2 linked regions of the Rattus norvegicus genome follow. The protein of the gene in region 2 purifies or fractionates together with the protein of the main gene of each other region. This does not show direct contact. Links are inferred from orthologs where the notes say so. Each region holds a gene or a part of one and is shown on either strand. Other genes may lie near its edges. The genes, in order: Nsf and Scfd1.

Region 1 (3,822 bases), on a different chromosome or scaffold from region 2:
AGCGCTGGCTCACAGCTCCTAGTGTGTGTGAGATACATGTATTTACCTAGACCTGGGCCTATGAAGATATGTGGAATGAATCTGGTGGCTTGTCACATGGGGATTAAAAAAAAAAATACAAAAACAAAAAACTAACGACTCTAAGGACTGAAAAAATTAAACCTACAAATTCTCTCATGATACAAACTGTTTAATTTAAATGTCAGACTGTCACCTAAAGTAACTCCAGAGAACCAAGCCTGTCTTGGACACAAAGAACAAGATGCCTTATGGTACGCTCTAAACAGAAAAAGGGGGAAATACAATTTTTACAAAGCCAAAGAAGATAACACCACACTTTAAAAAAAAAAAAAAATCAGGTAATTTTCTGGTTAGAATTTTGTAGACTAAAGCTTTCCTTTAGAGGATCAAAAATATTTTGCTTATACTCTACTGCCATCTTGTGGTCAAGTTTACTGCAAACCAAATCACTATACAAATTCATTTTCCAACTGAAAAGTTGTTTCAAGTTAACTTGAAAACACCTACGAAAGTTATAGACCTGCCTTGGGATAAGGTATTTTAACAAAAGATGTACGAAAGTAAAATACAAGAAAAATCACATCAAAAATATCCGGTGTCAGTAGTAGGACATGATGGCCTTCATAAAAATAATTTTGGGGAGGGCATTAAAATCCTATTGTAGAGATATAGTTAAGATGCTTGAAACATGTTAAGCAAAAAAAAAAAAAAAAAAAAGAAGCAAGTTAGGGGTTACTGGTGTGGTAAGTTAAGGCTCTTATGGATGAATAGCATGAGTTTGAACCCTGGGGCTCACACAGTGGAACTGACTCGAAAGTTGTCCTCTGACCTCCAAACATGTACTATGCCACACATGCTCAAACACACAAACTATGCAGGATAAATTATGAAATAATATACAAATAAAATCAAATTTAGAGCAAGAGTTTATGCTTGTCCGTAGGCATGTGGCGTGCACCTTTGATCCCAGCATGTTAGGGCGCTGGAAGCCAGAGGTCTACAAGTTCGAGGCAAGTCTGGGCTGGTGAAAAGACTCAGCAGTTAAGATCATGCACTGCTCTTACACAGGACCTTAGCCTGACTCTCAGCACGCATGCTGAGAGCCTTCAAACCACCCACAACACCAGGTCCAGGGGATCTGACGCCGCCCTGTGGCCTCCAAGGACACCTGGACACAGTACACATACTCACACAAGGACACACACAATGGAAAATAAGACAATCTTTTGCTAGAAAGGTAAAAGAAATAGCAATAGAGACTGGTAAGTAAATTATTGACTAAAAGACAAAACACCCCCCCCCCCCGCCAAAAACAAAACAAAACAAAACTCCCCTAAACTACATTTAAACAAAGTTAAGTAATTTTGGACAAGGCTGTGTAGCCAATGAAAAACTTCTCTATTCTACCGGGACAGGCGTGAATGTAATTGTGTCAACCACAAATTAGAGTTAGCACATCTTAACATCTCCAAGTAAGGCTAGTAAACAAGACCCAATGTGTTGGAAGAAAAGCTATATGTGGGGTGGGATGGGCATGAATGAGACCCTGGAAGAGAGAAGGGGAACAATGGAAACCTCGGTGAAATCCAAGCTAAGGCAGTAGTGTGGGCAGCAGCAAGGGGTCCACGGGAAACGGACAATGGCTACTGGGATCCTGTGAGCTACATTCGCAAGTATTTGTGAGCCTAAAATTATCATAGAATTTCAAACTGAGAAACGTCATTGCTTCTTGTTAATTGTTTTTAAGTATGGCTATGAGAAAAGAAAATTAAAATGTGCCTATGCGTTTCCCATTGTTACAGCTGAGGCCTTTAGCTCTTGTATCAGTGCATCTACAAGCCTTAGGGAAGGGTCTCCCCCCCACCCCCACCCATCCCACAGTAATATGAGACATTGCCACTTCGTTTGAAATTTTCTAAGACTGTAAATCTTACCAATAAGATTGAGTGATGAGTTTTCTGCTTTTTCAAATGCAACTTGACTGTTTCCAACGACCAGTCCTACTTCAATCTGAACAGAAAGGTGATAATTAGTACATGATAGATGTTTCAAAGCAAGGCTAGATTTGAGGGGGAAAGGAAGTCTTTCAGTGCAAAGCAAACGTTGCCACCGGTCATCTGAGTTACATTTGCTTTTCTCATAGCTATCTGCTACAATTCCTACATGTAGGTTGATGTCATTATGCAGGTGAAGGCAGACAAGAAAAACGAGGCCTATCACTGGACGAGAAGGAAGGGAGGCAGGAACAGAGGCTTTAGAAGGGAGGGGATAAGGAGAAGGAGCTGGGAGAACATGGCGGCAGATGTTAAGATTCTTCTCTGCGCATAGGTACAGGCTATGAATATGTTTAAGGGATGGGTGTGTGCAGGATTTTGTGCTGTTTAGATGGGCAAATTATATCTTATCAATTGAATCAGGGGTTATTGCGTGGTATGTTTTTTCATGTGTCGACATAATTGAGTTCAAGAGAAGGTATAATGGTGGGATGCACCAAGCCCGCCACGGAATTGAGATGTATATGCCTGGTGTGGTAACAACCGCCAGGGGAACTATGAGTGAAAGCAAAGTAGCGTGGCAAGGTGGAATGGTTCACAGACCACTCAGGTCAGAGGGAGCTCGGGAGAGTAGCGCAGAGCAGTATACGTGAGAACCAGTCACATGGCCTTTTTTTTTTACTGAAACACCTACAGGGCAATGTCTGCGTCTTCACAGTTAGTCTCCGTTGACTTAGACTAGATACTGGTGTTCAGCTAGTAGATCTGCAGTTAGATGTACTTGAATTCCTATTTCCATATCGACACAGGCTGCAGCAACAGGGAGGGCACAGGGAGAGCACACAGTAGGACAGGAGAATAGTCGGAAACATATCAGCCTGTACACATCATGTCAAAAAGATTACCTAGCAAAGATGAGGAGAAAGGCTCACCTTCTGCCTTTTACCTGACGCAGGCTCTCCCTTCAGGATGCTGGGATCCATGGCTTCGATGTCCTTCACCAGCAATCCAAAGAGCTTATCATTGAAGCTAAAGACAAGCTGTGGAAGGAAGGGATGGGAGGAAGGTTAGCTCATGGCACAATGGTTCCCTGCCACGTCAATGTTTTCCAGAGTGAAAAACCACTCTTCTCGGGTCTTCTCCATAGTCACACCACTCACAGACCCAGTGACAGGAAAAGGAAACTCGTGCATCAGTATGACAGGTGATGACTTAGTCAACACTCACAAACACTTTGGGAAAATACTTGTAAGAAAACCCAGATCCAGCAGGGCAGTGACGGTATCAGCCTTGAATCCCAGTCCTCAGGAGGCAAAGGCAGGAGGATAGCTACAAGATCGAGGCCAGTCTGGTCTATAGAGCAGACAGTTGAGGTTACATAGAGAGACCCAGTCTCAAAAAGCAAACAAACAGGACAGCTGAGATCCAGAAACAGACTATACATCAGGGTTCAGACACAGTAAATGACGGTGCTGGGTCAGCCCTTCCTATAAATACGAAATGCCAGCCACACAAGTGCATAGAGCCTTGTAAACCCAACAGTCCATTTACGAAGGACCTGCAGAATGCCTTTTACAAGCTAGGCCTCCTCTACGTGTTGAGCTGTCACAGGAAATACCGACTCTGCTATACAACTACCACCAAGAATGGCGCGTTGGTTGTGGTCAGATAGGTTATATATTTATTTTCAAGCATTTTCTTTCATGGTCTTTCATTGGGTTTTTAATTATTACAAACGTCAAAGAGTTTTAATTAAGTACTAAATCTAAAGTCAAACGTTAAACCCTACAAGCTGAATACAAATAGG
Region 2 (3,922 bases):
AAGTTACTGCAGAAATTCAAGGAGATGGTGTTGGGGGATAGCAACAGGTACCAGACAGTTTTAGAGTAAAACTGGCATGATTTACTGATAAATCTGAATTGAGTTAAAGTAAGAAAAGAAAAATCACATGAAGTTTTGCATGAGGAACTATAAGAAGCTTTTGTTAATATCAAATGGTCTGAATTCAGAATAAAAGTCTACACTAGTCTTGTAGACCGGGGAATCACCAGCTATAGTGGTTTGAATGAGAATGAGATCTGACTACTTGATCACTAGGGAGTGGCACTATTTGAAAGGATTAGGATGTGTGGCCTTATTGGAGGAAGTGTGTCACTGGAGGTGGGCTTTGAAGTTTCAGAAAGTGCCTTCCAAGCCTAGACTCTATCTCCCTGTTATCTGTGGACCTGGATGTTCGACGTTCAGCTACTTCTCTGACATCATGTCTGCCTGCAGGCCAACGTTCTCCCTACCATGATGATAATGGACTAAACTTTGAAACTGTAAGCAAGCCTCAGTTAAATGCTTTCCTTTATAAGAGTTGTCATGTTCATGATTGATATCTCTTAACAGCAACAGAAGACCAAGACACAAGCATATATAATACTGAAAGCTAAGAGGCCAGATGAAATACAGCAAGAGACAAAGTAATTGATTTGGGCTGAGAGACAAGGGAGACAGACAAGCAAGAACTCGCAATAGGAAGAGGAGGGAGCGGCTTACTCTTAACTGTTGAATGGAAGACAGGAAAGAGAAAAAGTAATGCATGAAGCTTTCACAAGGAAGGTGGCATTTGAGGTGGCAGGGTACTACAGGGACACAGACCAAGAAACAGGCATGCTAGTAACACCTTTGTACTTTAGTTTCTTCATCTATAAAATGGAGATAACGGAAACTACCCAAACCAATAAATTCTCAGTGCATTGACTATCATCTCATCCACCCAAACAGACTGCAAACTACTTTGCAGCAAAGAATCTACTACCTAGAATATTTGATGATTGTTGTTCCTAAATATTCTCAACAGAAATCAATGAAATGTTACTCCTACAAAGGATTTTGCTCTAAAAATAACACATGATCCATTTATGTATGAGTTTAATAACAAGCTATATAGTAATAACGTGGATTCTTGATATAATCAAAAAGACAAAATGAAATATTAGGTTTTAGTCTTTACAATGTCTACATATTAAAATGCACTGTTGTGTAAATTCAACTTTTAAAAGGTTCCCTTTAATTAGGACAGTTTTACTGATGGGTAGTAAAATCTAATTCACTTAGTTTTATTAAGATACTAGAACCAAGCTTCTAAGAGAAGCTGAGCCTCTATTTGCTTGCAAATGAAATTATCAAGTATTCTCAAATAGTATTTGTTTACCATATTTAAGTTATCTTTTACCGTGACCAGTTTTACTAAATTACCTAGTGAGAAATATACAACTCAGTATGCTTTTCTGTTCAGTATGCTGCATTCAAATCTATCATTTTTAATACACTTTGTTTATTGAAGTGATGGTACTTTCTTTTAAAAGACTTTATTTGTTGTTTGTTTGTTTTATGTATATAAGTACTCTATCTGTACATACACCTTCATGCCAGAAAAGGGCATCAAATCATGTTACAGACGGTTGTGAGCCACCATGTGGTTGCTGGGATTTGAACTCAGGACCTCTGGAAGAGCAGCCAGTGCTCTTAACTGCTGAGCCATCTCTCCAGCCCCCTATCATTTTTTTAAGACAAGGGAAGGAAGGAATCAGGCACAGTTCAAATTCTACTGCTACGCTATTGCTTGTAACTAATTGTTTTTAATACAAATAAGCATACATTCAAGAGAATTAAAGTTCTTTATGGCTTATGGCCTATTTCTAGTCTCCTTGGAAGTTTCTAGACAATTAGTATAGAATATGTAAATCATTTTGGAATTACACATATCACATTTATACATGATATACATATATATGTATAAATAATTATTTGGGAGCCAGTATAAATACACAAAGTTACTAGAGTTGTTTACTGGAAATAAGGAAAATCAGGAGTACCTCACATAAAAAACAAACCTAAAATCAAGGGAAGAAATAAGTATCTTTAAATTTTACCTTATAAATAGGTATACAAATATGCTCTACTTATAAGATACAACTTTTTCATTTTAAGATTACTATCTGTCAAACAATTGAAATACAACTCTGTTAAATTAGTTTTGACATTTTGAAGTCTCTTCCTGCAAGCTGCAGGAGGAAATCATTATCACCTGACATTTTTCTTCAGCTTCGCCCAATAGAATCCAAAGAAGGTGGCATAAAGTAAGGAGCTCTGAAAAGAATACTTAGATTTTGTAATCATGGCTCAAGTGTCAAAAACAGGTTTTAAAATCACTAAAACTGAAAGTGAAAATTAAACCAACCTGGAAGCTTGAAATACGAACACAAACCTATAGATCTCGTTAAGTGACAATATAGGAAAGAAAACACCAGCTGCCAGTCCTTGCCGTGATGGCCTTCTGAAACTCGGTAATTAAAAAATAAGTAGCTAACACTATAGCAAACAGCCAGCCTACTTAAGCCTCTTGTAACACAGGCAAAGGCTGTAAAGCATCTCTCCCTCACAACCTCAAAGTAGAGCAGCTCTTGAAGCTCAACTCCGGGCTGTTTCTACAACTCAGAGGTGATGACAGGTCGCCGCTCAGGCACAAACTGAAAAGAAGGAAAGACTGAGTGAGTACCTGTTTGCCTTTCCCGAATGCTGGCCGCCATCTTGCTTCCCACCATTCACTGCCCGGCTGGCACTCGGAGCCTGAAGATGACGTGGCTCTACCTCCCGCGCCGGAAGTAGATCCAGGGGGCGGGTGCAGAGATAGCAGACCCGCCTCCTCAGTCCGGGCCCTCCCCTTTAGTCCCAGACAATGGTTTTTCCCGAATTCCCAGCAGCGATTCCCACCAATCAGGAAAAGCCTCCTGAGGTCGCTACTTTTATTTTGCTTCTCAGGGCATGAGGACAGAGAAGCGCTTAGAATTTAATTGATAGTACACTTTTCATGAAGTTTAAATCCTCATAAAAATTACAAGACCAAATGAAATGCCAGAAATTGCGTTTTCTTGATTTCCATGACAGTTGTGTCAATTTCTTCTTTTCTCTGAAAACAAAACCTACAAACGTAATATTCTCAGTGCAATTTCTTCATGAAAATGACCTAGGTTAGGGCTTTGGCCTGCTAGGGTATAAAATCACAGAAAAGCCAAATGGCACAATTTCTTCTCAGGAGTGTACTAAAAACAACAAATGATTTTGAGCAGAATTTGGATGATCACTGACAGCTTTGGTAGATTTAAAGCACTGTGATTGTGAAATAAATCCCATATAGACCGTTTACAAATAGATTTTATTAATATCAAAAATATATACAATGACAACTTATTACCAATCAAAATGAATCCACCGATGACATTGCATTAGGGGTTAATTCTGAGGCAGTCAGATTCTGAGATGAAATCATACCTTGAAAAACTTGTCTTTCAAAATTATACAAATAATTTATTTTTTAAAATCAAGATCACATTTTTTACAATAAAAACATGATCTCTATTTGACAGATATAAAGATAACTATTTTTATAAAGTTACAACAGGCTATCTAAAGTTAACAGTTTGCGTCGTAGGGGAAGTATTCTTGATTCTGGCGTCCATGGAAGCAGAATGTCTTTCCCACCTTCCATTTTGAGTTTAATCGTATTTACCTGAGCATTCCACTTTTAAGTACAAATTTGTCATTTTACCATTTCAGTTTGCCAAGACTATATAAGGCACATTATCATAAAATACTAAGACAATCCGAACATCACTATACAGTGTGCATGTTTGTGTATTTCGGCCCGATAGTGTGTAATGCGGGGAATAAACATATAAAGAAAAATATATCCCTC

What was found.
Region 1: the proteins of Scfd1 (region 2) and Nsf purify together in Homo sapiens (affinity purification with mass spectrometry; 3 studies listed by BioGRID and IntAct, with this or other methods). This does not show direct contact. The link is inferred for Rattus norvegicus from reciprocal best matches to the Homo sapiens genes SCFD1 and NSF.

The regions. Positions count from the first base shown.
Region 1 is NC_086028.1:89,315,773-89,319,594, forward strand, and holds part of Nsf (vesicle-fusing ATPase), read right to left. Parts: intron 3,056-3,822; coding exon 2,948-3,055; intron 2,032-2,947; coding exon 1,956-2,031; intron 1-1,955.
Region 2 is NC_086024.1:74,530,145-74,534,066, reverse strand, and holds the start of Scfd1 (sec1 family domain-containing protein 1), read right to left. Parts: upstream 2,785-3,922; 5' UTR 2,772-2,784; coding exon 2,726-2,771; intron 1-2,725. UniProt on the Homo sapiens protein: Plays a role in SNARE-pin assembly and Golgi-to-ER retrograde transport via its interaction with COG4. Involved in vesicular transport between the endoplasmic reticulum and the Golgi.